Linked DNA regions of Notamacropus eugenii. The protein of the gene in region 3 purifies or fractionates together with the protein of the main gene of each other region. This does not show direct contact. Links are inferred from orthologs where the notes say so. Each region holds a gene or a part of one and is shown on either strand. Other genes may lie near its edges. The genes, in order: PLXNB1, GAB1 and MET.

Region 1 (9,711 bases), on a different chromosome or scaffold from region 3:
GGGGGGAGATGGCAGGTACTCATAGAAGTAAACATGAATTGTACACAAAGTAATTCCTGGTAGGGCATGGGGGAGAACTTTTAACAGAGGGTGATAGAGAACATGAGGATAGAGCTGAACTCTGAAAGTAGCTAGGAAATCTACAAGGCAGAGGTAAAGTTCAGAGAACATTCCAGTCAATAAGTCAATACACATTTATTAAGCGCCAAGATGCAAAAGCCAGTCCCAATATTCATGGAGCTCGTAATCTAGTGGGGGAGACTACAAGGCAGCAAATCCGTACAAACGCTATTTACAGCATAAATAGGAGATAATTTAGAGAGGGAAGGCACTAGAATTAAAAAGGGTTGGGAAAGGCTTCCCGGAGTGGAGATAGACTTTTCAAATGCACAGAGGTTCAATGGAATGTCTTCCTGAGCATCATAGGATCATAGATTTAGATCTGGAAAGCACTTTAGAGTTCACCCAGTTTGGCTGAGAAGGAGAAACGTCACATTAGTCTAGAAAGATAGATGGGAGGCCGACGGTGAAAGAAAGGCTTTAAAGGCTCAATAGAAGAGTTTGTATTTTACCCTCAAGGCAATGGGGACCCATTGAAGCTTCTTGAAGAGAGGAGTGGTAACGGGTCAGAGTGGATAGACAGGGAATGGGAACAGCTTTCCAAAGTTTCTTTGGAAGTGATGGTGGGAGTGTGGGACTGCTTTATATTTTTGTATTTGTTCCTAGCTTATACATTTTCTGTGGTGTGAGAAACAAAGGCCATCCCATACCCAATATCCATATTATACACTAAGTATCTCTACAGAACTCGAGGACTTTGCTACCTACTTTTAGGGAAACCTAGACATTAGCCATGCCGTGATTACGGTGTAAGATTTTCCTGGAGAACTCCAGGTAGAAGCAATGAGCTGGAGAGAGACAAAGACCCTCATGGTGTCAGGTCCCCTCCATGTGAGATCAGAGTCCTTGGGCCCTGGGTCATGGATGACAAACACAGATTGGCTTACCTTAATTGGGGGAAATGAAGCTAGGGTGAGTGTGGAACAGGATTTCTTCTTAACTCAATAGAGGATGTCTAGCATCATGCAAGGATGTGAATATATTCTATTAAGTATAATACATTACCCCCGCCCATGCTACCTTCCAGCCAAACTGGCTGACATTCTTTGTCAGCAAGCCTTTATGCTTTTTGCATATGCCTAGAATACACTGCTGCCTCATTTCAACTCTCCAAACAAGATAGTTGTACCCTTGTGCCTCGAATACTGTCTGGCATGTAGAGGGCATTTAAGAAATACTTAATGATTATCAGTTTGGCAGTTGTGTGCAGAATTGGAGAGAGGGGAGAGGATGAAGGCAGGGAAACCAATTAAGAAGCAAACAGTGATGAAGGCTTGAGCTAGGGTATAGAGAGAAGGAAGGGAATTCTAGAGACGTGGAGGAAGAAACAAGATTTGGTAACATTGTATGGGACAGGAAAAGAAAATGTGAAGAGTTGAGATAGTTGTAAACCTGAATGACAGAATCCTGAGAATCAAAAGCTTGTATTCCAGAAATTAGTGCCTAGTACACAACAGGAGCTTAATAAATGTTTATTAACTGACTGACAACTGGGAGCTTGGGAACAGCCAATGTGGTTGATCAATCTGTCAGTCTCTGAAGGGGACTAGAATGGACCCTGACATGGTAGGGATGCTAGACAGGCATTGCTTAGACTAAGGGACAAAGACTCAGGTCCTTATCTTTCACCTCTAGAGCATCATAGTGCAGTGAAACGTGGAGGTGTTAGAATGACTGATGCCCACACATGCTTTCCCTCTTTGCCAGGCTGGAGAATAGCAGTGCCTTTTGATTTCCTGAAGGTAGGCTTTGAGTCTTTTGCTCACCTCTGGCCAGACAGGCCCACGGAAATTCATTGGGCCAGTACAAACTAAAGGCAGAGGAGGAGGGACTGTGATGTAGGCTCAGCCCAGGACCCCCAGCTGCCTGACACCTGAGGTCCTACTCAGCTTTGCCTGGTAGGTGGGGCTTAAGAGAAAAGACACCACTGAGTAGTTCAGAGAGCTGGGGTAAGGGTTGGCTTCAGGGAGCATGGGCGGTGCCAACTCAGCAGGGAGAGTTGGGGAAGGGTGGGGCAGGCCAGCTTTGAAGGTAAATCCCTGTTCTTGCCTGGGAAGGGGCCCAAACAGGGGCAGAGTATGTTCCTGGGGCCCGCCTCTCAAGCTCCCCTTGCCTGGACAACATGTAGGCCACGCTTGGCAGCTAAGTCCTCCCTGCCCTTCTAACATTAATCAATGACTTTGCACTTTGCACTTTCCCCTTTACTGCCCCTACCTCAACTATCCCATTCATCCCCCCTTACTCATTCCCCATAAGGCTGCATGAGGAATTGAAGTCAGAGGACCTGATTTCAAATGCTAGCTCTGCTACTTATCATCCTCTCTGTACTTTGGGAAAATAACCTTTCTAGGGCTCAGTTTCCTCAACTGAAAACTAGATGACTTAAGTCTCTTCCAGCAATAACTATTATCTTATGATCTCTCCCTGTCCTCTCCCCAAACTACTTCCTCTCATTGGTCCATCTTCTGTCCCCTCCTCCCCAACCCTAAGAATGAAGCCTTCACAGAGAACTCCAGAAAATTCTAGATGTTGACAAGAACCTTGTGGTGGGGATGGTAAGAAAATGGAAATCAAAGGATTACAGATTTATGGCTGGAAAAGACCTAAATGGTCTTTTTGTTTGTTTGTTCACTGTCTCTTCATTCATTTCCCATCCTCTTAAAGTGATTCCACCACAAGAATTTATTCTGGCTTCTCTTCTCTCCTCTCCACATTGTCTCTTGGCATTCTCATTCACTGCTATGGTTGCCATGACTGATTCTATGATCAGCCCTCAAATCTCCAGCACTGATTCTTCTGAGCTCCAGACCTACATCTCCAGCTGCCTATGGGGCATATGACACCTGCAATTTGGAGGTTCCACTTACTGTCTTAAGCCTTTAAATCTCTGACTTCATCATTTCTGCGGCTGATACCACATGGTTCATCCTGTGTCCCATGTTTGAAAATGTAAGGTTATCTTGGACTCTTCCCCTATCCAAATGCTTATCAAGTTCTATTGATTCCCCTTCAGTAACATCTCTCAAATCCTTACCCTTCTGTCCCAAATGACTCTACCACAGCACAAACTCTCATTACTAATTCCTTATCTCCACCCCCCCAAGCTATTCCAATAGCTGAACAGGTCTTTCCCCTTCCAGTCCAACCTTACACTACTGCCAGATTACATTTTCTAATAAATAAATCGTCTTATTACTTCTTCAGAAATTTTTGGCTACTTTTTATTGCCCTTGGTTTGACATTTAGGGTTTTCACATCTGGCACCACTTTCACCTTTCCATCTCACACTAATTCTCACCTTTTATGTCTACTGAGCTCCGGTCAAATTGGACAATGCTGTTCTCCAACTCAAAATGTCCCACTTCCCTCTAGTAACTCAGCTAGTATTATCATAGACAGATTTCACATATTCCTATGTGCACTCTCTCATGGACTTTTACATTATTTGGCTTTGTGTGACTTTGTGTCATATCCTCCATTGTATAGTGAACTGTGAATGCAGAGACTGTGACATTTAAACTAAGTGTTCTTTCTCCCACAGCCTAGTCCAATGCTTTCCCAGGGCTTAATGTTTAATTGTAGGAGGAGAGAGTGGGGAAGCTTCATGGGGGATGAGGAAGTTGGGAGGGAGGGGAGAAGAGGGGAAAGGCAGTGGAAGGGGAAAATGGTAGAGAAGGAAGGGCAGCCCCAGGTCGGACCATGTCAATCCCCTATTCAAAAGTCTTCAATGCGTCTCTATTGGCTTTTGGAGAAAATGCAGACTCCTCAGCCCGGCATTTAAAGCCACTAACTTGGCTTCCACCTACATTTCCAAATATTGCACCTTGGTCCCATCCACGTGAATAAAATGAGTTTTCTTGAAGTTCTGGGAACTGGGTATGCTATCTCTCTTCTCTGTTCATAGATTTAGACTCAGGAAGGGTCTTTCGAGATCAACTTCACCTCTTCATTCAAGAGATGTTAAATGGCTTGTCCAAGGTCACACAGTAGAGTCGTACTTTGTCGGTCTTCCGACCCCACAAACAGCCTCCCTTTTCACTTGACCATTTTGCCGCGTTTGCACTGGCTGTCCGCCCCTCAATTTCTGGAATACATTCCTTCCTTACTTCTACCTTATAGGACCCCAAGATTTCTTTAAGTCAGAGTTCAGGTGTTCTGTCCACTCCCAACTCCCTAGTCGAGCTTACTTGGTATTTACTAATATGTCCACTTGTGGGTCGTCCTCCAAGAACGGGAGCAATCCTTAGGGATGCCTTTCTTTCTTTCCTTCCTTTTCTTAGGGATTTCTTTCTTTTTTCCTTCTTTCCTTCCTTCCTTCCTTCCTTCCTTCCTTCCTTCCTTCCTTCCTTCCTTCCTTCCTTCCTTCCTTCCTTTCTCTCTCTCTCTCTCTCTCTCTTTCTCTCTCTCTCTCTCTCTCTCTCTCTCTCTCTCTCTCTCCTCTCTCTCTCCTTCCATCCTTCCTAATCTGGAGGAGAAAGTGGAGAGGAAGGAAGGGTAGAAAGAGAAGGGGGAAGGCAAAGGACAAGCAGGTGAGGGTTCTGGTGGAGAAAACGCGGTGCCCCTCTGTGCTGCCCTCCCTGCTTCATCCTGCAGCCCTTCTCGGCCTGCGGGCTGGCTGGGGGTGGGGGTGTCTCTGTTCCTGGGCAGCCGGGGTCTGGAGAGAGGGAGGAAAGGAAGGCGCAGAGCCCGGGGGAGGACGCGGCTTTGTCTCCATTGTTTCTGGAGGTGAATGCGCCGGGCCGTGGGGGATGGGCGGGCGCAGTTTTCCGCCCCTCGGTCTCCGGGTAACAGCTGTGGCTTCGCCGGATCCACCTCCGGGGGCGGGGGTAGGGGAGGCCCGCGCCGCTCTGGGGCTCGGCTCAGCCCAGCTCAGCGCCGCGCCGCGCAGCGCCACTCGGCTCGGCGCGGCCCCGCGCAGCAGAGGGTTCGAGCGCGGTGCAACTGTGTGCGGTGAGACGGTGTGCGGTGCAACGGTGGGAGCGCCTCCCTCCCTCCCTGTCCCAGCAGCGGGGCCCGAGTGGTGAGTCCGTGCGTCCCGGGGGGCGGCGAGGAATCCGAGCACCCCGGCCAGACTCCCCGAGTCCCCGGAGGTGGAGAGCCGGCATCCGTAAGGATGGCTTGGGGAACACTTACGTGGACCGCTTGGGGCTTTCTGTTGTGTGGATCGGCCACCTGGAAGGGAGAGCTCTTGATCTGGGGCCTGGGGCTGGGCAGGGGGCTATTTCATTGTGGGCATTTTGGACCGAACTTCTCCGGTGGAAGAAAACTTCAGGGTGGTTTTGATTGGGAGAGGCGGGAGGCGGGATCGACTCCCCCTGAACTGGAGCTGAGTGCCCCCTCCCTCCACCCCTGGGCAGCCCCTCCTCTCCCCCACCTCCATCCTCACCAGCCAACAGCCTTTCCCTCCCCGCCAGGACCAGATGACCAGAGAGGGGGTCTTTCCTTCTTGGACCCTGGGGGCGGGATGCCTGTACTGAGGAAGACGGGAGGTACACCACACCTCGGAAGGTGGAATATGTGGGAGAGGTTCGGGGCTCCTGCACCTTGCCTAGATCCAAGAAGGATTGGGAGAGTGGGTCGTAACTCTACCTTTCCCATCCCAGTAAATTCAAACGCTCCCTGGATTGCGACCCCCCCCCCCCCTTCTTCCATGCACACCTTAATTGTGGCCCTCGTCCCTCCCTCAGAACACACCCTAAATCGCTACCGCTCCTTCTGTACATATAGAGTGGATTTGGATTTTGACACTCCTCTAATGTGGGCTTCCTTAATGTGACCACCCTCCCCTTCAGTACACACACCCTGGAGAGTGACAGTCTTCCGTCAGACTGGATTGTGTCACCTAAACCACCAAAAGGCATATCCTGAATTACGACCCTCCCTTTTCGCCTCATACATAATCTAAATTGAGACCTCCCTCTCCTCAGCCCTCTAAATGCTCAAATCAAAGGGTAACCCGCTCACATTTTGGGGTTAATGAGTAACTGGCCAGCTCAGAGATGGGAAGGAAGCAGTCTCCCCGGCCATTCCAGTGAAAGCTGGTTTCTCCTGATTATGGCACCCAGGGAGCCAGCCAGGTGGTGGGCACCTCATTGGGTACAAGGTGGGGGGAGGGGCCGAAGGGGCAGGGATCAAGACAGGGTCTGGGCCTTTGAAGAAAGGGGAGGGGTTGTTCCCTTGCTAAGAGGAAGCCTCTCTGCACCGCTATCTCAGCCTTTCACCTCTTGTCTCCTGGAAGTGGATAGGAGGGCTAAACCTGGAGTGGGGAGGGGGTGTATATTTGGGGGCCGTAGCTCTTGGGCATCTCCTTAACTGGTGGGTGAAGAAATCGTACTCCCCCTGGTGGATGAAATGGAGAGATGGCCTGGAAAAAGTGGGGAGCCCTAGAGTGGCATAATCTGGTGCCAATTTTGACATTGTTGGAGGAGGGATTTTCTAGCTAACATGTTGGGGGGAAGGAATGGTATACTCGTGGGCCCAACTGGAATGTGGTAGGCTCTGAGTGTTAGGGTGCAAGGGGTCGGTAGGGTGCAGAGGCCCATTTGGAGGCAATAGAAGCTTTGAAGAAAGTTTTGGGAGAATGAAGGACTTGCACTGTCTCATTTGTGTACAAATCTCAATAACACATTCTGGTTCATGGTCTCTAATTAGTAAAGATGTTTCTGAAGCCACCCAGATTCTCCAGTTGATCTTCACCCTTCTCCCTGTCCCTTCCCTTGACCTCTGTGTTGTCCTTCCCCCTTTCTCCTCTGTTACTATGCTTGGCACAAACTAAGCACTTAATAAATGCCTTTTCATTTTCATTCAATCTTCCCTGACCCTCTCCATTTTATTTTCCTTGTCCTTCAGTCTTTCCCTCTCTGTCTGCATGACTCTTCTTGCTTGACTCTGGCTTTTGTCCATAATGGGGAAAGGTATATAGGGTCCTGGGAGGAAGCTGATGATAGAGAACAGAATAGGAGCAGTTCTGGCCTCTCCAGCCCCCTTCCCCTAGAGTCACTCCATCCATGCAGACAGCTCCTGGGAATCCCTTGAGAGGGGAAAAGAGAACTGATTGGCTCTTCAGGGTCAGTAGAAGAAAGGAGGGAGGAATATAGATGATGGGAGCAGCTCTGGACCTACCCTGCTCAGGAACCCCTTTTGCCTCCCGATTCCATTGGCCCTCTGGCCCCATATCCCCCCAGTTCAGGCCTTTCAGTTCCCACTGTGGGATAGGACATGAGTCCTTGGAGGAAGCTCCTGTCTGTTCCTTGAACTGGGCAGCTATGGCAGTCGGCACCCTCAGAACATTTCTGGATGCAGGGTGATTATCTTCTGCTGTGTGTTATATTATTATGGTTTATATGGGCATCTGCCTCCACTCCCTCCAACAAACACACTCCCTATCTGCTCCAGATGCCTGTGATATCTGTTTGATCAGCCTTTTGGAGTTCTCATCTGCTTCCTACTTGGAGAGGGGGGTCGGAGAGAGAGAGCTTGGAATTCAAGACTACAGGGTGGGAGAAGGTGCTAGAGAGAAGAGCAGCTGAGTTGGAGGGGGAGGGGATTCTCTGACTTTAGGTTCATCCAAATACCCTTCCCCAGTTTCAGCCCCATTAACTAGTCTTTAGGGAAAGCCCCATCTATGTCTTTTGTTAGGGAGAAGTACACTTGAGCTTGAGGGACCTTCTGAGCTTGTCTGTTACCAGGTCTGTGCCATAGGTACCCTGCAGTCTGGGGGTTTGGGGGGGGTGGGGCTCTGCCAAGGTCTCTCCCAAGGCTGCTGTCCTCCGAGATTGAAGTGAAGGCGGTTGGAATCTAATGCCTTGATTTAAAAGAAAGTCAGAAGCAAGCAATACATCCAGACATAGATTTCTTCCTTTCAAACTAGGAACTTTAGATCTCTAGATTCTGTCTGTCCAGTGGTGTCTTGAAGTAGTTTCTGGAGCCTGTGGGATCCTGAGAGAGAAGACATCCCTTCTTTGCCTTTTCTCCAGTCTGGATCTGAAAATGACCCAAGTCAGTGGCATGGGAAGCAGGAAATTCCCTTATTCTCCCACAGTGGGATGTATGGGGTAGAGAGGTTTCAGCCAGTCCCTACTCACCCTTTTCCAGCCCTCCTACTCTCCATCCTCCTTTCTCAATTCTCACCCCCACACCCTCTCTTCCATGCCACTCATTCTCCCCCCCACCTTCATCCTTTCCCCCACCCGCCTGGGGCGGATAAACAAAGGCAGTGTTGTTCCCGCTCCCACAGAGCTGCCCTGTTCTCTCCACACTAAAAATGGAAACCCCCGAGCTATTTTGGGAGCTGTGCCCAGGCCGGGCCGTGGCCTACTGCCTCCCCATTCCCACCCAGCTTGGTCCCCACCCCCTCTTTCGCAGCTCTTTCCTTGTGGAGCCTAGGCTCAGGGTTCAGCTCTGAGCCCCTCCTCTCTGGCCTCTTCTGTGTACTGACCATTCCCTGCAGTGCTGTTCTTTCACTTGATTGGGTCAGGGGGCAGGGAGGATTGGTTAGTGGGGAGCAGACTTGAGTGCCAAGGTCATCACTGTCTCCTGATTGTTCCTACTACTGGTAGTCGATCTGGGGGTCTTAGGATCTGTGCCCTCTTGCCTTTTCTCATATGAGAGACAAGAGATGTCTGAGTATACAGAAGAACTTTTCTAAATAGGCCTCCCCAGGACACCAAAGAAACCTCTCTGACTTGGCTGGCTTGTCTCTTGGACTCTTGTTATCTGAGATAGACTGACCCCCCAGGCCACCAACAGCATACAGAAGAGCCCCGAGTCACTTAGGAGATCAGCCTGTTGGGGCCAGACAGAACAGAGGGAAGCTGAAGACTGAAAAGATTCAGGTGCTCCACCCCCTACTCAGGCCCCTAATTATCTCCCTCATCCCCCCCACTCCTTCCCTTCTTAGCTCCCCAAGCCCTGCAACCCCCCTCAGAGCTCAGTTCCCTAATACCTTAGGTACAGCTTTACTGAGACTCCCTCTATGGGAGTTTAAAAACATTATTCTGAGAAAGGTTCTACCAGTTTGCCCAAAGGGTCCATGTCGTAAATAAGAACCCCTATAAAAATATATAGGCAACCCTGTGCAGAGTGCCCTGGAGTAGAAACAGAGATGTGTCCTCCATGAATGATTAGTCCAGCTGAGGAGATAACTAGAGACCAGTACCAGACAGGAAATAACCTTGTATCCCTCTACTCAAGATTTCTTTTCACGAATGACTTCCGGGACTTCTGACTCATCCTTGATCACCCATTCTATTTCCACTACCCTGGTTTCACTTTCCTCAAGACTTAGATCATACCATGAGTTGCCACTTTAATATTTCACTGTTTATTATGGTAGTATGCCTTGATGTCTTGAATCTGTTAATCCTCATCTCTAGGTAACCCCTACTGTCTATTTTCTCTGCTGCTTTTAGGCTTAGGCCCAGTGGCCAAATTAAGCTAATTTCACCTACTGCAAACTGATGGCACGTAACCCCAGCTGGGCCCTTGCTTCTGTCTGATAGACAATTCAACAAACATTTTAAGTGCCTTCTAGGGGCCAGAACCCGTTAGGCGTTGATACAGAGAAAAAAAATAACAAATGGAATTCATATC
Region 2 (9,705 bases), on a different chromosome or scaffold from region 3:
AATTCAGCAAATATTTTAAAATTATCTACTATTTTAAATTCACTATCCTTGAAGATAAGGATGTAGAACCAAAACTGTCCCTACCCTGGAGGAGTAGTTTCCTTGGGGTGGGAGGGGGAGGGGAGGGAAGGGTGAGATGGCCTGTTCACAGATAAGTAAATACAAAATTGAATGTTCACAATAAGGGAACTAAAAAAGGGAGGTGAATTCCATAATAAAACGAGTATTTATATAAAACATTAAAGTTTGCAAAGCTATCCTTATCCTTATCCTTATCCATTGATAAAAGGCTGGTAGTTTGAGGACAAATTTTGACTGTCATTTCATGAGATGCTTCACTTATCTATGGAGTCAGGGACAACGTAGTTTAAAATTTGATCTATGTAGATCTATGGGGGTTTGTTGAGAAGACAGAGAAAGAAGGTAAAGTGAAATTTTAAAAATAAATATAGATACATCATATCTAGAAATAGATATATTTACACACATAAATATCTACCTATATATTCTCTTATTTGATTCTTATAATAACCCTGGGAAGTATTAGATACTTTGATATTTCCATTTTACAGATGAGAAAACTACAAAGAGTGGTTAGCTGAGGATTCAAACTCAGTTCTCTTCCTCCCTCTAAGGCCTGTGCTCTCTATCTACCACAACCATCTACCTGCCTCTCAGATAAATCTTTAGATGTAATGATTGTATAGACTGGAATAAGATTATTTTATTTGGGAACAAGAAAATATTAGGGCATCAACATTTCATAGTACAGCAGAGCACTCTATTTTTAAAAATTCCTTAAATTGCTTTTATACAGTGGGTGTGGTTAATCTCCCTCCCTACACAGTGATGGTCCCTGCCCAGACTCTCCACCCATTTTTTCTAAGTCTAGGCAGATACCTTGCCCTAACCACTAGTTACCAATGTTTGAGGTGCAAAAATACTAAACGCTGTACGTGGACAAGGACCGAGCAACACAGAAAATGTTTGCATAATTTTAGACGTGGTGATTTCTAGTAAGAATCTTTACACATGATTTAAAAATCATTTGGCTTACCAGTATGGAATCTCAGTGTTGCCAGATCATAGGATTTACAGATGGAAGGGTCCTTAGAGGTCATCTGGTCCAACCTTTCATTTAACAGATGAGGAAACGGAGAGTCAGAGAGGATGTGATGTCCAATTAGGCAAATGAAGTAGTTTGTCCAAAATCTCAAAGGTACTCGTTACCAATGTCCTTATTCTGTAGATGAAGAAACAAGCCCAGAGAGTCTAAGTGAAGAATATTTATTTTGGGGGATCAGTAAAAAGGTCAGAAGATGGGAATTCTAGACTTCTAATTCTGTCAATAACTGTGTGATCTTGGACAAACTGTTTAATCCAGGGGTAGGGAATCTTCAACCTCTAGGTCACATGTGGCCTTTTAGGTCCTTGGGTGTAGTCTTTTGACCGAGTCCAAGTTTTACAGAACAAATTCCTTTATTAAGGGGATTTGTTCTATGAAGTTTGGATTCAGTCACTATATCCTATATCCCTATATATCCTACGGGTTTCAATTTCCTCTATTCAGTCGTAAAATTCTTGTTTTTCATCTTTCATACCCAGTTCTTAGTAGTGTCTTGCACAGAGTACATATTTAAGAAGATGTTCTCTGAAATGTATGATCTATGATAATGACACTTTTATTTCTAAGAGGGCCACCTTCAACAGCCCTTCTCTGATCACCCCAGTTGGTTCAAGCTACTGTCCTCCCATATCATCACTTCCTATTTAGTATATAAATATATATGTATGTGTACATGTATGTTCTTATGTTTGTCCTTCGTTGCTGAAGAAGACCATGCCATCAAAGAAATGATGATAAGACCTGCACTTGACTTTTTTTTTGAGTGAGGGAGGGCTGTGCAAGGTCACCAGCCTCACTTCTTCAGTGTCACTTGAATCAAGTGACCAGATGATATGATATTCATCAGGATATCAGGATGCCTTTCCTTTCCTCTCCTCTCCTCTTGTCTCCTTTCCTTTCTTTCCTTTCCCAAAACCTTAAACCTACTGCACTCTGAACCTCTGACAACAATGGGCCCCTACCTAAAGGCCCAATACTAACTGTTGCTGTTTCCCACCCAGTCTGATGTCTTTCTTTTTCTTTGCCTCATTAAAGGGCCCATGCCCTGGCTACTTCTTAAACAGGTCTATTCAATGAATGACTGTTACCTCACATGTATGTATATACACACAAACACACACACATATGGAAACCACTCCAGTATCTTTGCCAATAAAACCTCAAATGAGGCCACAAAGAGTAAGATACAACTGAAATGACTGAACTACACACACACACACACACACACACACACACACACACACACACACACACACATACACAGAGTATCTAAGCATACACAAACATATATATACATACTTACATACACATACACACTTTATATATGAAAGTAGGGAGACCTGGCTGACCTCAGAGTCAGGAATTGTTACTGGTGTTGTCCAGTTGTGTCTGACTCTTCCAGACCCCCTGCACCATAACGTCCACTAGATTTTTTTTGGCTTGCCATTTCCTTCTCCAGTAGATTATGGCAAACAAAGCCAGGAATACCCGTATTTAAATCCTATCTCTGATACATACTGACTCTGTGACTCTGAACAGTGGTTATGTTTCCAGAAGTCATTTAACAAGCGGGCAAGTCATGATCTAGGCAACTTTCTATAAACTGCAGAGAAGTTACCTGCATTGATAGATTCCCTATTGCAATGAAACCACAGATTCAGCCTCTACACTGTTTTTGCTTATCTGTGAATTCTCTCAGAATTTAAGGTCTTGGAGGGCAAGGGCATTCTCACATTTGTATTCCTAGCATCCAGCACAGTACCTGGCACATGGTACATGCTTAATAAATATTTCTTGGTGGAACAAATCTACAACTTTAATTTTTAAAAATGCTTTGCATTTTAAGACCCACAAAAATAAACAGAGGAAAAAAACTGCATATTATGTGAGCCGGAATCTTCAAAGTCTTTAAAAGCCAGGCTTATGAGTATGAACACCAGGAAAAACAAAACACTTTATTATTATGAAATGGACTTTAGCACCACACCATAAACATTCGGTACAGTTCGTTCTTTCAAAAACTTAGGAGTTGTTTCACAGCCAGCACAAGCAAAGAGAAGTAGCAGAAATTGATCACAGAGGTGAATGATCATAAAATGTCACTGAAATGATAATAGCTGACCTTTAATGAGAACTTTCAGGTTGGCATAGAACTTTACATGCATGATCTCATTTGATCCTTACCACAACCTTCTAAGGGAGATGCTACTTTCCTTTTACAGCTGAGGAAACTGGCTCACATGGCTACTGTCAGAGGCAAGATTTGTACTACAGGTCTGTCCTGATTCCAAAGCTTCCATCTCTCTGCTGTACCCAAAAACATAATGTAATAATGCAATCGTTGCTGTAGACTGTTGGACTGAAGTCTCTCTCACCTCTAAAATTTTATGATTCTGCTCAGTAAATCAACAGTTCATTTTTCTTCAATTTAATTTTGGTTAAATTTAAATTAGCTTGCTCTTTCCCTCCAAAAAACTTCTTTTTTCTTTTTTAAATTTCCCACCATGGTCACAGACTAGGAATCTTATTTCTTCTGGTTGCAAGTCTCATTCTTTCTATCCTATCCCTCCCCCCTCCACCCAAGGGCAGGGACTTAGAAGCAACTCCAGCCTCCAACAGTTCGGATAACCTTCTCTGGGCCGTTCTGCACATTCTTCCACAGAGAAAATTCCAAAACTTCCTTTCAACCACATTAAAAAAAAAAGACTTGGTTAAACATACAGTCCAGAGGGCAAAAACTGAGATTTCTTATTTCAGCCGTGTTCCCTCCCCCAACCCCTCCTCCTCTCCTCTTATCAGCGTTCTTTCTCAGTGAGCCTGCCTGGTTGGGTCCCGGCCTCCAACTTTCAAGGCAAAAAAGGGGCTCTCTAGAAGTCTCCTTCTGCCATCAGGGAAGCGGGGAGGAAAGGAAACAGACATCTCGCCATTCCCGGACTACAGATCCCAGAGTGCCTCTCCTCCTTCCAGTCTCTCTGCTCTGCCCTTGTTGTTGAGCTGAAAGGGCTTTGGCTGAGTTTCAAGCGAAAGTCTTGGCCTCTCAGTCCGGACAGGGAGAGGAACAGCCACCAGGGGCCAAACTTGGGAAAGGGGAGGAGGAAAGAGAGGAAGAGGGAGTGGGAAAAGGCAGGGGGTGGGAGGAAGGCTCAGCAGGGGGAGGGGTGGGCTGGGGAGGGGGAATGTGTGTCCAACCTGTCACCAACTCCTAGGCTGAAGCTGGATCTTGGAGAGAAAGTGGAGGGGCGGGGGAAGAGGAGGAAAAAGGAGGGCTAGGGCTGTGGAATCCACTCCCAGGAGGGGAGCGGAGGGAGGAGAGTCTCGCCGCAGCTCTGCGCGGGGCTGGCGGGCCCCCTCCTCACTCTTCTCCCTTCCACTGGAGGCGAGAGAAGGGAGGATTCCTCCCCCAACCCCCTCCCCAGCCAATCCCCGCCCCAGGGCCTTGGGGGGGCCTCAAGTTCGAACGGTAGAACTTTGGTGGCTCCCCAGTTTCCAAAGCCCCTGCGCGCCCTCCCCGAAGGCCTGGGAAGGAGGAGTAGGCTAGGGGGCTGCGGAGACAGGGAACCCGAGCAGGAGGGTGCTTTAGTGCACGTCTGTGTGTGTGTGTGTGTGTGTGTGTGTGTGTGCAGTGTGAGTGTGTGCGCACTGTGAGTGTGTGTGCGCACCGTGAGTGTGTGTGAGTGTGTGCAGTGTGAATGCACTGTGTGTGTGCGCACTGTGAGTGTGTGTGAGTGTGTGCAGTGCACTCTCCAGCAGGGGGTGGAGCAAGCCGGGAGGCCAGGGGCTCGGGCTCCGGCTCCGGGCAGAGTCTCCGGGAGACGTCAGGCACACCCGGGGGCTGCCCAGAGCGGGGCCGCCCAGAGCGGGGCTGCGGGCCGGTGGGGAGCGAGCTCCAGGTCGGGCTCCGGTTCGGGCGCCCCGCGCGTCCCCCGCGCTCGGGCAGCGGGACGGGCTGGGCTGCTGGGCGGCGGCGGCGGCCGAGGCGCGGGAGGGGCGGGCTCCGGCGGAGCCTCCTTTCATGTCTGTGTGAGCCGGGAGCAGACAGGGGCGGGGGGCGGGGAAGGCGGGGAGGGAGGGAGGGAACGAGAGAAAGAGAGCCGAGCCGGGAGGGGGAGTGCGCTCATTCCCGAGCCGCTCCTGTCCACATCGCCGGGGAGCCCGCACCGCTGGGGAGCCCGCCCCGCCGAGGAGCCCGCCCCGGCGCCCTCCCTGCGCCCGCCCGCCTGCCCTTCCTCCCGGGTCGTCCGCGGAGGCCGGAGCGGCCGTAGGGCGTGCGAGGGGCCGGCCCGCCCGCGCTGCGGCCGCCCGCACCCCACCTCGCAGGACTCGGCGGCGGAGCCCGGAGATACTCGCTCACCATGAGCGGCGGCGAAGTGGTTTGCTCGGGATGGCTCCGAAAATCCCCCCCGGAGAAGAAGTTGAAGCGTTACGTAAGTACCGCGCGGGCGCTCCACCTGGAGCGGGCTTCGCACCTCGGCCGGGCCGCCCCGAAGCCGCCTCTCCCTCCCCGCCTGCCTCCCGGCCCCCCCCCCCCCCGGGGCAGGGGCGGCCCCCCGGGGCAGGGGCGTGCGGGAGCGGGCCCCAGGGTCCCCTCCTCCGGGGCCCCCTCCCCCTTCTCTGGCCAGACACCTCGCACACACACATTCACAAATTACACACACACATTCACAAATTACACACACACTCAAGTGCACACTCACGCACTCGAACGGGAGACTTTCTCTAGCAACTTTCCTCCCTCCCCTCTTGAAAACTACGTCATTTACGGACTAAAGCCCTAGGACCCACAGCCGTAAGACCCAAACCTGGGACTTCTCTGGGAGAAAAAAAAAGAAAGAAAAAAAAAGGCTGTCAGTGTTTTTTATTATCCCTTTTCCTTGGATCCGAGAAGAGAAACCCTTCTTTAGAATATGCATCTTAGTCTTAGAGTCTGGCAGACACGCATATTATTAATATGATGACGCCCCCCGCCCCCCTCCACCCCTTTACAGCAAAAAGAATTTGGAATCCACTGTGGATTCTCCCCTACGCCCTCCCTCCCCTTGCTTTTTCTCTGTTTCCGTCTCCCCTTTTCTGCTTTTCTTCGGGATTCTACCCCCCCCTTCCCGCCCCCCCGCCACACCTCTCCTTACTCTTGGAGGGGAGGAAGGAGGGAGGACGGGGAATCTTAGGGAGATAGGATCAAGGAATTGCATTTTAGACGTCCAAGGGACCCTTGGTTTGCTGAACAGAAATGCAGGATCGAGGTGACGTTGGAGTTTAGGGTTTTGTTTTTGTTTGTGCCAGGAAAGCGATGGGGGTTTGCTGAGAGACCGATTGATTAATTTCCTCACCCGGGAAAGGGCTGGTGTTTAGGACGCCTCCGGTGCGCTGTCAAGTCACGTAGGAGAGGGACTGCTGATGTCAGAAGCGAGATCTTGAAGGGCTTCTTTCCCCGGGCACCAGAGTCGATTAAAAACAGTATCCATGTAATTGATACAAAGGAGCTGTTTCTTCACTGAGCTGTTGGAAAAACAATTCCTTGAAAGAACCAGCTTGACTTAAGTGGAGATTTTTGTCCTACTCTGGGAGTTCCAGGATCCTGCTTCCTGGAGCTTTTTTTTTTTTTTTAAGACTGCTTGATGTCTTTACCACTGCTTCCTGAAAAGGAAAGGGATGACACTTTTGTCTTAGCCACATGTTTTTCTTATAAAAATGTTCCCACACGTTTTTTACTGGTCCTCAGAGACCAGAACTTTTTCTGTTGGCCACCTGTGTCTCCTGGTAGTTGTTTGTCTTTTTTTATGATTAAAGGATAGGATTTTAGCTAACGTTACTGTTTACTCCAGGTCTTCAAGGTCTCCTCATCGAGTTCCTTCCAGAATTGTATTTATCAATAAGAATTACTGCATAAAAAAGAGTGGGTGCCACACATTCCACCCAATCAGCATAGTCTTTGCCTTTTCCTTGGCTTCATTTTTGTCTGATTGTCCTATGGAAGAATTTTGCTTTCATCTAAAACTTAGAGAGTTGAAAGGTCATTTTTGTAGGCATTTATACAGTTTAGAGCTGAAAGGGACCCTAGAGATCTTTAATTGAGCCTGTCATCAGGTAGTCTTGGAATAGTGAAAATGAGAGCTCCTTGGAGCCAGGGAGATCTTGGTTGCAGCCCCGCCTCAGATACATACAGACTTGTGACTCTGGGCACTTGCCACCTCTCTTTTGGCCTCTCGGTATCAAACATAAAAATGTAACATATTGACTTAGAAATAACATTCACGTTATCTATAGCATATTATGGGCAGCTAGTTGCCTGGCCTCAAGTCAGGAAGACCTGAGTTCAAATGTGGCTTTAGACACTTACTTGCTGTGTGACCCTGGGTAAGTTTCTTCACCCTGTTTGCCTCAGTTTCCTCACCTGTAAAATGAGCCACAGAAGGAAAGGGCAAACCATTTCAGTATCTCTGCCAAGAAAACCCCAAATGGGGTCGCACAGAGTTCCAAGAAGGCTGAAAATAACTTTGTATCGTATTTTTATTTATTTTGTTAAATATTTTCCAATTACTTTGTAATCTGGTTTGCAAATACTACACGACCACATGCCTCCTGTTTGATACCTCTGCCCTAGAGAGCTCTCTAAGAATGCAAATTGCAGAAAAGTTGTTGACCTGAATTGACAGAGGGAGTTTGCTAGGTCCAGGCCCTAACCACTCCCTTTTAACAGATGGGGAAATTGAGGCCGGGAGAGTGACTTAGGTACTACCTTCCAGAGATAAGAAGGCAACGTAAACAACAGCCCATATCATCAAGTGAAGTTATGGCCTGACTTCTTAAGCAGTTTGGATGAAAGAAGAGGATTCACAGAAACAGTTACAGTCTATAGGAGTTTGAATCACTGCTTTTCTTGTCTGGTTAACATGTGTGGCCATCTTGAAGTGAGCATTATACTAGCCAGGCTCCCTTGAGGCCAGAATGCATAGTAGAGAATAGATGGTTCATGTCTCTAGGGGGTTAGGAGTCTAATATATTTTGAACCAGGGGAAGAATTGGAAGCCTTACTTGCAGCCTTGCATTTGCAGGCCTTTGCATTAATTCATTCAAATGTGCTGAAAATAATCTCATGAAATAGAACAGATTTTGTTTTGTTTTTGCCTGGACCTGTGATTTCATCAGTAAAGGGAACTTCTAGTATGGAAACTTTCTTGTTCTGCAATTTATAGTGTTAGTGTTAGTGAGAGAGAAGTGACCTGACCATCCTCATTAGGCTAATATGCATTAGAATCCGAACCTGAACTGGTCTTCCTGATTGCATTGCTGGCATTCCAAGAGGAAGAGACCAGGAGGAGGGACAGCATTCCATGCAAAGACAGAGATGGGAAATGGGGCAATCTGTTTGACTAGCAACAGGAAGGCCAGTTTCTCTGGACTGTAGAAGTTGTGAAGGAGTTGTCATTGAAAAAACATTTATTAAGCACCGTTTATCAGTATGCTGGGTATTGTGCTAAGTACTTGGGATACAAAGGCAAGAAAGATGCTTTCTGTTCTCTAGGTCTAGGTCAAAGCTCACAGTCTAGAGGGGGATAAACCTAGAAGGGAGAATGGGATGATGGGCTTTAAATGCAGAACAGAGAAGTTTGTATTTGATTTAGAGGTAATAGGTAGCCTCTGAAATTTGAGGTGGGGAGTGGTGTGATTAGACCTGTGCTTTAGGAATGCCACTAGGGGAAAGGTAGAGAATGGATTCTAGAGTGGGGGGAGACTTGAAGAAGAGAGCCTAATTAGGAGCCTATTTGTAATAGCCTAGGTAAGACAGGGTGAGCATTTGAACTAGGGTGGTGGCAAGGTGAGTGGAGAGAAGGAGTTAGCAGCAATAAATGATGTGGGGTCAAATCCACGAGACTTAGCAATTGATTAGAAATGTGGAGTGAGGGAGAGTGAAGAATGGTTTTTTCCTTTGTTCCTCTCATATACTGTGTATGTCTTGTAGTCTTATTAGTTTATTATGTCCTTGCAGATAGGAGTTGTCTTGTTTTTTTAATCATACTATGTTTGTTAGAGAGGGAAGGGGGTTGAATTGGTGTTACTTGGCTAGTAATTTGTCAAACAAGACCTTCTGCCAGACGGTTTGCTAATAACATCATATTATGTCGCCTCTGTATTGTTTGAATGTGCCAGGGCAAATTCTGAAAGACTTTACGTACATGGAAATAGGAGAGGAACAGCTTCGATCCAATAAGTGATCATAACAATCGGCATTCATGTAGTGCTGAGGCAGTTAGTGGTACAGGGGATGGCGCATGCTGGTCCTCCAAGTCCGGAAGACCTGAGTGAGACACTGACTAGCTGTGTGATCCTGGACAAGTCCCTTAACTTCTGCTTGCCTTAGTTTCTTCAGCTGTAAAACAGGGATAATAACAGGATCAAATGAGAGAATTGTTAAAAGCACTTATCACAGTGCCTGGCACATAGTTGATGCTTAATAAATGCTTATTCCTTCCCCCTTTTAAAGTTTGCAAAGCAGTTTGCATTTATTATTGAGTTTGAATCTTAAATCCCTGAGTTAAACATAACAGATAACTAGCCTCATTTTACAGATGAAGGTCATA
Region 3 (10,782 bases):
GGGGCGGGTGAACTTACAGACTCCTCCGCGAGTGAGGGAGAGGAGGAGGAAGAGGAAAAGAATAAGGAGGAGGAGGAGGAGGAAGAGGAGGGAGAAGAAGGGCAGAGCAGTAGGAAGGCGGAACGGGAATGGCCGGAATACCGAAAATTGCATTTCAAGGGGCTTAAAGATCTCAATGCCGCTGTTAAGGCATATGGCCCCAATGCCCCTTTCACCCTCTCCGCCCTTGAGGCCATGTCCCGTGGAGGGTATCTTTTGCCGGCGGAGTGGCTCCGCGTGGTTCGAGCTGTTCTCTCACGGGGACAATTTTTGACGTGGAAAGCCGACTTCTATGATCGTTGTCAATCCACGGCAAAGAGCAATGGGAAGTCCCCCAACTCCCCCGCTTCAAAATGGACCTATGAAAAGCTGAGTGGTCAAGGCAAATATGCAGGTGAGGCCAAGCAACGCCGCCTTCCCATAGGTCTCTTGGCGCAAACCGCCAACGCGGCATTTGCCGCCTGGCGCGCTTTACCAACCCCTGGTTCTCCTCTTGCCCCGCTTAATAAAATAATACAAGGGACTCAGGAGGACTTTTCTGAATACGTTAGCAGGCTCCTGGAGGCCACCGAGCGGACCCTCGGTCAGGAGGCCTCTAAGGATCAGCTTGTGAGGCGTCTGGCATATGAGAACTCCAATACTGCTTGTCGCTCTGCCTTGCGCGGGAAATGGAGGGATAAAACCCTAGAGGAGATGATCCGCCTCTGCAGAGACATAGATCCTTTTACTACGAAAATATCCCAGGCTGTACATTTAGCTGTCGGGGCGGCTCTCCAGCCGGGGGACTCCCAGAAGGAGTGTTTCCGCTGTGGGCAACCCGGTCACTTTGCCCGGCAGTGCCCCAGCTCGCCAGATACCCCCCCTCCTCCAACCCAAAATAGGGGTTCTCAACCTTCCACCCTCTGCCCCAGATGCAGGAAAGGGAAGCACTGGGCGAACACTTGTCGCTCCGCGACAGATGTCAATGGCCACCCCCTGCAGGGAAACGGCCGGAGGGGCCAGCCCCGGGCCCCCCAGCCGATCCCCGTCCCGCGGGCCTCGGGGACCAGCCCGCCCACACCCAACTCTACAGAGCCACTTCAGGAAGCGCAGGGGTGGACCTGTGTGCCGCCTCCACCACAATATTGACCCCTGAAGGTGGGGTGCATATAATTTCTACAGGCATCTTTGGCCCCCCGCCCCCCAATTTTTATTTTTTTATTCTTGGTCGTGCTTCCACTACTATTAATGGCCTTCTAATCCACCCCTCCATTGTTGACGGTGATTATATGGGGGAAATCCAGATACTTGCTTCAACCCTACAGGGACCCCTCACTGTCTATCAGGGGCAACGCCTTGCACAGGCTCTCCCGCTCCCCCTACAAACCCCATACCCTGCCCTCACCACCGTTAGAGGCCACTCCAAGCCCGGGTCCTCAGACATCTATTGGGTTCAGGCCATTTCCCAGGACCGCCCCATGCTTATGCTTACCATTCAAGGCAGATCTTTTGAAGGAATATTAGATTCCGGAGCTGACTCAACTGTTATTTCAAAAGATAGCTGGCCGCCTTCTTGGCCCCTTCAACCATCCATGACGCACTTACAGGGCATAGGCCAGTCCCATTATACTCTACAGAGTTCCCAATGGTTGCCCTGGCAAGACAAGGAGGGAAATAAAGGGACTGTCCGGCCTTTTGTGGTCCCCGGCCTACCTGTCAACTTATGGGGAAGGGATATTCTTTCTCAGCAGGGGATAATTATGTGCAGTCCAAATACAGTTGTAACCCGTCAGATGGTCTCCCAGGGATTTCTCCCAGGGAAAAGGCTAGGCAAAAGAGGGCAAGGACAACCATCCCCAATTGTTGCTGAAGGGAGGAAAGGGCGAGCAGGCCTTGGCTTTGAAGGCCCAGATAATCAGAACCATTTTTCGTGAGGGCCACGGGTCCTCCTGCACTCCAGGCAGATAGGATCTCGTGGAAAAATGACCTACCCGTCTGGGTAGACCAGTGGCCCTTACCCAAGATAAAGCTGGAAGCAGCGTTCGCTTTAGTGCAGGAGCAATTAGCTGCAGGGCACATAGAACCGTCCACATCCCCGTGGAACACACCCATTTTTGTTATCCAGAAAAGGTCAGGTAACTGGCGGCTCTTACATGATTTGCGGGCCGTCAATAAAACTATGGTTCCTATGGGGGCCCTTCAACCTGGGCTCCCCTCTCCTGTAGCCATACCACAAGGTTTCTCTAAGATTACAATTGACCTTAAGGATTGCTTCTTTTCCATTCCCCTCCACCCCTCCGATTGCCAGCGCTTCGCTTTTAGTGTTCCTATTACCAATTGTGTGGGCCCTTCCCCGCGTTTTCAGTGGAAAGTCTTGCCACAAGGCATGGCTAATAGCCCTACGCTGTGCCAAAAATATGTAGCACAAACAATTGACCCTTTTCGCTTGCAGTATCCCAAGCTTTATATCATCCATTATATGGATGATATCCTCCTTGCAGGTTCAGATGATGAGGAATTGACCCAGGTATCACAGGAGCTCATTAGGGCATTGGAAAATCGGGGCCTTAAAATTTCCCCCGATAAAATACAAACCTACCCCCCGCAGCTCTTCTTGGGGTTTGAACTTTTAACTAATCGCATTCTCTCCCAGAAGGTTCGCTTGCGAGTAAGTCACCTTTGTTCCCTTAATGATTTCCAAAAGCTTCTGGGAGAATTGAATTGGCTTAGGCCTTATCTTAAGCTCACTACGGGGGAATTGAGACCCTTGTTTGATATTCTAAAAGGAGACTCCGACCCAAATTCACCCCGTTCTCTCACGCCGGAGGCCCGTAAGGCCCTTGCCTTAATTGAGCAAGCTATTCATGATCAACATATTGGGTATTACGCTCCTCTAAAACCTCTTTGGCTCTTAATTTTTTCTACCGCTTTTTCCCCCACTGGATTATTGTGGCAGGAGCATCCGTTGTTTTGGATTCATATGCCAGCCACACCTACAAAGATCCTCCCCTCCTACCCGCATTTAACGGCTGGCCTCCTGCGCCTAGGGCGAGAGGCAGCCCTTCGGCTTTTTGGTCGGGAACCAGATCATATTGTCTGCCCCTACACCGCTTCACAGATTCAATGGCTGCTTCAGAATGATGACGATTGGGCAGTTAACTGCATTTCCTACCCAGGGATTATAGACAATCATTATCCCTCAGACAAGCTTGTCCAGTTCTTTCAGAAAACACCTGTTGTCTTCCCAAGGATTACCAAGGCGGAGCCCATCAGAGGCGCCCATTTGGCGTTCACTGATGGATCCGCCACAGGGAAGGCAGCCTTCAGTGTTAATGGAAAGGCCACCTCTTTTGACACACCCTTCATCTCTGCGCAGCTGGTGGAACTTGCAGCGGTCATCAAGGTTTTTGAATCTGTTCCGGGTCCTCTCAATATTTATACTGATAGCTCCTACATTGCACATTCGGTCCCTCTATTGGAAACTGTCCCGTATATTCGTCCCTCCACTAATGCGTCTCCTCTTTTTGCCACTCTTCAGCTTCTAATCCTCTCCCGCAAGCACCCCTTTTTCATTGGACATATTCGTGCCCACTCCGACCTCCCCGGTCCCCTTTCTGAAGGGAATGATCAGGTTGATCAGGCAACTCGTCGCATTTTACTTGCGCTGTCTACCTCTCCTGTTGCTGCTGCCACGCAAGCCCATAAGCTGCATCACCTTAATGCCCATACGCTTCGTCTCAAGTTCCCTATCACCCGGGAACAAGCCAGACAGATCGTGAAACAGTGCCCTGGCTGCCTGACTCTTCTCCCTGAACCTCATACTGGCATCAATCCCCGAGGTCTCATTCCCGGGGAGCTTTGGCAAATGGATGTCACTCATTACCTCCCTTTTGGTCGGCTTAAATATATTCATGTGTCCATTGATACCTTCAGTGGTTTTATCTTTGCCACCTTGCAACCTGGAGAGGCCACCAAGCATGTCATTAATCACCTCATTAGTGCCTTGGCAGTCCTCCCGCAGCCCAAAATTCTTAAGACAGATAATGGCCCCGGCTACACTAGCTCTTCTTTCAGATCCTTTTGTACACAACTACATATTAAGCATGTAACTGGCATACCCTATAATCCTCAGGGGCAAGGAATTGTGGAAAGGGCCCATCAAACATTGAAAAACATGGTCCTGAAATTACAGTCAGGGGGGGAAGTTCTTTATCCCAGAGCTGGCAATGCCAAAACGTTGCTCAATCACGCCCTTTTTGTTTTAAATTTTCTCACCCTTGACGCTGCGGCAAAGAGTGCAGCAGACCGCCTTTGGCATTCCTCTACGGCCCAAACCTACGCTCAGGCAAAATGGAAAGATCCCCTTCTTGGCAAATGGCAGGGCCCTGATCCTGTGTTAATCTGGGGCAAAGGCCATGCTTGTATTTATGATTCAAAGTGCCAAAATGCTAGATGGTTGCCTGAAAGGCTGATCAAGTTGATGGACAAGCCAGATGCTTACAATACCGTCCAGGGGACTACACCTCCCTGAGACACATCTGTTTTTCTTTTCCTGTTTTTCAGGAGATGACGCAAAGAACTTTTCGAAAATCCCCTCTGGAGTGGCTTGAATGGAGTCCTCCCATATCTCCTCCCTCTCCTTGGACCCTTGATTGGTCTCCTCCTACTTCTTTCTTTTGGGCCCTGGGCTTTTAGTAGACTAACCTCTTTCATTAAAACGCAGATTGAGGCTTCTCTTAAAAGCCCTATCAATATCCATTATCATCGCCTGGCACTTCTGGAGAACCCTGCAGACAACGAGGAGGACGGACTTCAGTTCTCCAAGCTTGTGCAGTCAGAGTCCCGTTGCATGCGGTGGTGGAAGGCCTTTAGGGGATAAACACGGAGCGGCAGCTGTGAGAGTGCCCATGACGGGAATATTGAGGCCCCATATATCAGGATCATAGGCGCGGCTGCAGTTGTTCCCTATGACGGGAGTAGAGCAAGGCCGTGGCTGTTCGGCCACGTAGATCCCCTTGCTTAGCCTAAGACAGGGTCATCTGCCGAAAAAGCGCTCTGAATATGGAAACCAGCCTCATAGCCTAAGACAGGCCTCTCACCCGCCCGCATATTTTAATTTCAGTCCGCCCGCATGTTTTAATTTTAGTCAAAAGGGGGACATGTCGGGGACTGAGGCCCCCCACCTGTACCTCCTCTAACCTGCTTGCTTTCGTCCCGCCTGAGAAGAAAAACCGCACCCCACGATCCCGTGGAGAGATAAGAGAAGGGACTGCCTGAGGCTATGCAAACATACCAATGCGGGACCTGGTGAAGCAGTAGATGTTATGTAAACACAGATAGCCAAAGTACGATGTCCTAAGATAGAGCTGGCCCACCACGGAATTTGCTTGGAATCTCTTTGTCTTTTCTCTATATAAGTTTGCAACCCTGATAATAAAATCAGACCTTGCTTACCACCCCTTTGGTCTCACTCCTCTTTTCACCCATCCCCTTCAGGTAGGCGTTCTCCTCGATCCCCCCACTCATACTGGCCCTGCAGGTCAGGGCAGGAGACCTAGAATTTAAATCTAAACCAAAGTATCACAAATTTAGAGGTGGAAAGAACCCAGGAAGTAATTTAGTCCAGTCCTCTCACTTGGCAGATGAGCAAATGGAGGTTTAGAGAATTCACACTGTGACTTGTCCAGTGAGGTCACATTGGTGTCTCTCAGAGCTGGGCACTGAAACTAGGCCCTCTGACTTCAAATCCAACAAGATTTCCACTATTCAACACAGATGGATGCAAACAAATCTCAATCATTAATCTTATGGCCTAATTTATTCCTTATTCACCAAATGAGTGACAGAATCTCTAGAGAAGGACAAATGGTGGTCCTGCTTTATGTATTAATATAACATTATTTGGAAACTATACATACATAGCTTTAGAGCTGAAAGAGTAGGCAGTTCCAAACCACATATTTTACAGACAAGGAAAATGAGGTCCAAAGAGGATAATTGATTTGCAAGGTACTAAATGACAGGCAGGATTGGAATTGTCATCTGGTTCCACATCCAATGCACTTCCACTTCTGCATACTTCTTATCAAGCATGCAAACTGAAGATACAGCTGCACAATGAGTGGAAAACAGTAACCTTTACATTCACACTTTAAAAATGGGAAGATTTCAGTGGCCAAGAATTTCATTTCATATTTTTGATTCATTGGTATTTTCCTAGTTATTTAATCACCCTGTTTTCTTGCTGAGAAAGCAAGTAAAAGAAATTGGAGTCTCCTCTGGGCTCAGTACTTCAGCAGTTGTTGTTCCTTCTTGAAATCAGAGTTATTACAGTGGGGGCTAAGCGTTGCATAATGTAACCGTTGCAACAACTTGACTATCCACCACCCCCTGGACAATAAATTCCTTGTTTCTGTAGTGCCCAAATCTTTCCCTACCCCCATCCCCTCCCATAGGTCAGTGTTGGACTGCAAAGGGAAAAGTTGGAAACAAACTACAGAGATAAGCCTTGTTTAGCTTATTCCTAGGGTAGTGAGTGAGTGAGAGTGAGTGTGTGTGTGTGTGTGTGTGTGTGTGTGTGTGTGTGTGTGTGTAGACACTAAGAAGCCAGAGAAGGGGGGAATGAGAGGAGGAAGAGGAGGAGGAGGAGGAGAGAGAGACAGAGACAGACGAGAGAGAGAGAGAGAGAGAGAGAGAGAGAGAGAGAGAGAGAGAGAGAGAGAGAGAGAGAGAGAGAGAGAGAGAGAGAGAGAGAGAGAGAGAGAATCTTCTGTCAGCAATCTCAACAAGCATACCAGGAGGGGGAGACTCAACCTTGCTTATTACCAGCTGTGCTAACTCCAAGCCGACCGAGGTGGGGAAAGGAGAAAGAGAAGGAAAGAGAGAGAGAGAAACAGAGGAGGAGAGAGAAAGGGGAAGCGAGAAAACTCCTTTATCTACAAAGTTTCTCTTTTCCATGAAGGTTACTGGGAAAAAGGAAAAGAGATCGGCCAAAGTAGCCAGGAGATGAGCGGCGTCCGGGGCTAGATTTGCCCTTCTGGACAGCACCAGTGCCCACCTCTGCAGCGCTTTGGGTCCCAAAGGAGAGAACTAAAAGGGGCACGTGCAGAAGAAGTGTTGGACAGTGCACCTCCCCGCCCCTCTGGAACATACACACACACAGACACACACACACACACACACAGACACACACACACACACACACTCCCTCACTCACACTCACACAGCCGCACACTCGCACACGCGGAACCCGATGCCGGGGTGAGTCACGGGCAGGTCAGGACCGCATGTGGAAAGGGGCGGAGGGAGCCCTAGCACCAACGATTTGCCTTCGGGAGCTTCCACAGCGCAGCGGACACCAGGCACCTAAGAGGGGAGGAGCGCTTGCTGGCTTGTTCTGTGCCAGGGCTGCCAGGTGACCCGGGAGGGCCGCTCACCTCCTCTCCCGCCGTACCCCCCTCCCCTCCGCACCGCTCCGAGCGCCTTTGTGTCCAGATGCAGCGGAGACCAGCTTGACTGAGGAATCCAGATGCGGGACGACAGCTGAACAGCTGCGAAAGCAAGGGGGGAGGGGACAGGGCGAACGCCTGCGGGTGGTCTTTTACCCCCTGAGCTGCTTCTCTGTGCGGACCCTGGCACCTCCAGGTAAAGACTTGAACCTCTCTTCTAAAATACACCCCCGCCCTAGCCCCTTCTCTTTGTTTGTGAGACAGGAGTGGTGGGTGAATTGGGTAAGGAGAGGGATCGCTAGAGAAGGGTGGAGGGGAAGGGAGAAGAGTTTTTCGTTGTTAAAAGCTAAAGTTGTATGGTCAGAATGAAGGTGAAAGCAAAAACTGTTCTTTTACCATGGGGGGTGGGGAGGTGTGTGTGTGATGACACCCTGGATAATTACCTGGATGACTCAGAGTAGATCTTGTGCCTAGGAGTAGGGAGGGAGGCTGTGAAGTGTGTGTGTGTGTGTGTGTGTGTGTGTGTGTGTGTGTATGTTTGTCTGTATACCACCGCTATAGATAAGTTTCAGTTGGTGATCTGACTCAGCCTGTACAAAGGGATGCAGTCACTCTGACCCCAGGCGATGCTGGGAAGATCTGGGCAAAGCTGACTCCTTACTTAATCGAAACTATGATTTGATAATCTTGGAAGGGGCAGGTGCATGTGTACACCTTTCTGTGTGGGTCCCAATTTTCCATTTCTTTACAGCAGACCACACTTGTGCCAATTAATAATTCCTCAGTCTCCAATCATACCTTATGTCATTGTTTAGAATATAAAGGAGAAACTGCTTATAGCTAGCATTCAGGCAACTGTTGCTGGTATTGGTAGAGAGATGATTACTGTTTCAATAATTGACAAGTACTTTGTGCATTTTATAAATAAAAGTCATTCCACTGAGCACTTCTACAGCACAGAAATCTATATCAAGGATGATTTCATACATCAGACCTTTTAGGTTAAAAAAAAAATCCACTGACTAATTTGACAATTGGAAACTGTTCCCATGATGGTGCAGGAAGAGTTATGCTGGTGTAGCTTACCTTTTTTCCCACAGTTTTATGTTTGAAGAAGCACTTTGGCAAAATGAAATACTATCAACTCTTAGGCAAAATAATCAAGATCCATTAATTGCCTAGATATGATAGGCAATGAATATGAGGTGATAGTAAAAACTGGCATTGCAAGGAATATATGGAACTCTAAATTACTCTCCCCAGTTTTAAGAAATGATCACATTTTAAACATTGCATTGAAGGCTTACTTTTTAGTTTCTATCATCCAGACACATATGCCATGCAAATGGATTCAATAAAACATTATTTTCCTTTACAGCAAAACTGTTTAGGCTAACTAATAAATTTTTTTCTGCAGCATGATTATCTAAAAAATGATGTACATTATGTTTTTCTGTGCTACTGGAACATGAATTGTGCTCTTATGTAAACAGTGTAAGTGGTGCCTGGATTATTTACAGATATATAGCCTTTCCCTTTTTATCTCAAAGCTTATTGAATTTTATCTAAGTACAGAAACTTCCATAGTCAAATCTAGTAGAGAACTGAAGAGCATTTGTATTCATATTTTGTTTTTATTCTTAATTACTTTGCAGTGTTTTTATGAGCTATGCTTTTTGAATTGTGTGATGACAATTCAAGGAAGATCCTTTATACCATTCGTTAGAACTTTTCACAGTACTCAAAATGTGTCTAATCTTTTATAAAACATACAGGTGTTTAGGATAATATTCTGTTCAAAACTTTAAAATGCAACAGAGTTGTTGTTAACCTAAATTTCTTTTACTTCTGACAATTGGAGTCTACTACATGTATGTTCCATAGAAAACCTACTTTTGGGAGGACTTGTTTTGTTTCTTTAAGCAGCATCATAGGGTACATCTAATCTGTGTTAGATGTGCATGCCTTCAGCAAACATGGGTGGGTTTATCTAAGTGATCGAAAGGGTCTGAATCAAGTAGACCAAGTCAGAATAAATGTTCATAGCTAATGTTTACAGGACTATGTATTCACCAGAAGAAAAAATGCCACTTTGCGAAGGCATGAAAGGGGAAAGAATTGAAAGGGGCTATTCTGTTCTTTTCTTAATGTCTACCATTTCTTCTATTATATTTATTGATATATAATCCTATACCTACTTTTACTCAAGAAAGCCTAGGATCAGAAATTACTCTGTTAGTTGCAGGTGAAATCTATTTTAAAATGGCAATATTTTTGGTAGAAAAACTAAATATCATACTCAGTATTATTTTCTCCAATCTCATTTTTTCTTTCAAAGCAAAACTGAGTAATTCAAGAGTGGTTCCTTTAAGAAGGAGAGTATTGGCTCGAGGGTGGCCTTTGCAGCCTGACTGAAACCTAGTAGTAGTCACATAGACTGAAAAGAGTAAGCTTGTTTGATATTGTTTATTCTAGCTTCATTATTTTGATTTAGCACTATTTATTTATCACCCATCTCTCTACACATCTTCATGTCAGACGCTCTGGTTTGTCAGAGATTCTGAGTCCAACAGTCTTATTTTTTCTTCCAGTTTCTTCTGTTGACCTCAGGTTTGGAGGGCACTGCCTATCCCTTCATGCATCAGAACTAACTAGTCTCTTCCAGAATCTTCTTCATTTTTTTCCCTTTGCAGCACTGCCTTCATATGACAGAGTGCATTTTCGGACGTGCTTTTTCTAGGCTTCCAGTTGTTTCTTTTTAAAGGGGAAGTAAGTAAATCTAGGAATCCGTAGGCAAGGAACTTTGTACCTTAGTGAATTAGCCACGTTTTCAGTGGCTTTCTCTGTGACAGGGCAGAGTGTCATCAGCTGCTTTAGGAAGGTAATAATAGCAGCAAATGAATAATAAAGGTTACTATTAACTAATGTCACTTTAGGCAGGAATGCTTTGACTTCCACTTTCTTCTCTAGTTAACCCCAATCTGTGGCAGAGTGGATTGCATGCATCTGGACCCCTAGCCAGCCACACTCTTGCACAGTTTTATTTAGCAAACATTTGTTGAGCACAGCGTGTGCCAGATAGCATGCTAGACTGGCAGGGGGAGGGGATCTAAAAGATAAAGTTCTTATCCTTAGTTATCTTTTAATCTAGTACAATGGTAAATAACACACTGTAGATTTCAAATTCCAGTTCTACAAATATACCAATGCAGTGAGAGACACTAGAAGGGATAGAAAATATAGATAAGACAGACACAATACCTGCCCTCAGGGGGCTTACAGACCAGTAGGAGGATATGACCTGGCTAGTAAAAGG

Evidence for each region.
Region 1: the proteins of MET (region 3) and PLXNB1 purify together in Homo sapiens (co-immunoprecipitation; 3 studies listed by IntAct). This does not show direct contact. The link is inferred for Notamacropus eugenii from reciprocal best matches to the Homo sapiens genes MET and PLXNB1.
Region 2: the proteins of MET (region 3) and GAB1 purify together in Homo sapiens (affinity purification with western blotting; 3 studies listed by BioGRID and IntAct, with this or other methods). This does not show direct contact. The link is inferred for Notamacropus eugenii from reciprocal best matches to the Homo sapiens genes MET and GAB1.

What each region holds. Positions count from the first base shown.
Region 1 is NC_092872.1:14,566,690-14,576,400, forward strand, and holds the start of PLXNB1 (plexin-B1), read left to right. Parts: upstream 1-4,853; 5' UTR 4,854-4,868; coding exon 4,869-5,140; intron 5,141-9,711. UniProt on the Homo sapiens protein: Receptor for SEMA4D. Plays a role in GABAergic synapse development. Mediates SEMA4A- and SEMA4D-dependent inhibitory synapse development. Plays a role in RHOA activation and subsequent changes of the actin cytoskeleton.
Region 2 is NC_092877.1:140,474,805-140,484,509, forward strand, and holds the start of GAB1 (GRB2-associated-binding protein 1), read left to right. Parts: upstream 1-5,219; 5' UTR 5,220-5,478; coding exon 5,479-5,550; exon of another isoform or gene 5,551-5,629; intron 5,630-9,705. UniProt on the Homo sapiens protein: Adapter protein that plays a role in intracellular signaling cascades triggered by activated receptor-type kinases. Plays a role in FGFR1 signaling. Probably involved in signaling by the epidermal growth factor receptor (EGFR) and the insulin receptor (INSR).
Region 3 is NC_092874.1:136,377,078-136,387,859, reverse strand, and holds the start of MET (hepatocyte growth factor receptor), read left to right. Parts: upstream 1-6,752; 5' UTR 6,753-7,662; intron 7,663-10,782. UniProt on the Homo sapiens protein: Receptor tyrosine kinase that transduces signals from the extracellular matrix into the cytoplasm by binding to hepatocyte growth factor/HGF ligand. Regulates many physiological processes including proliferation, scattering, morphogenesis and survival.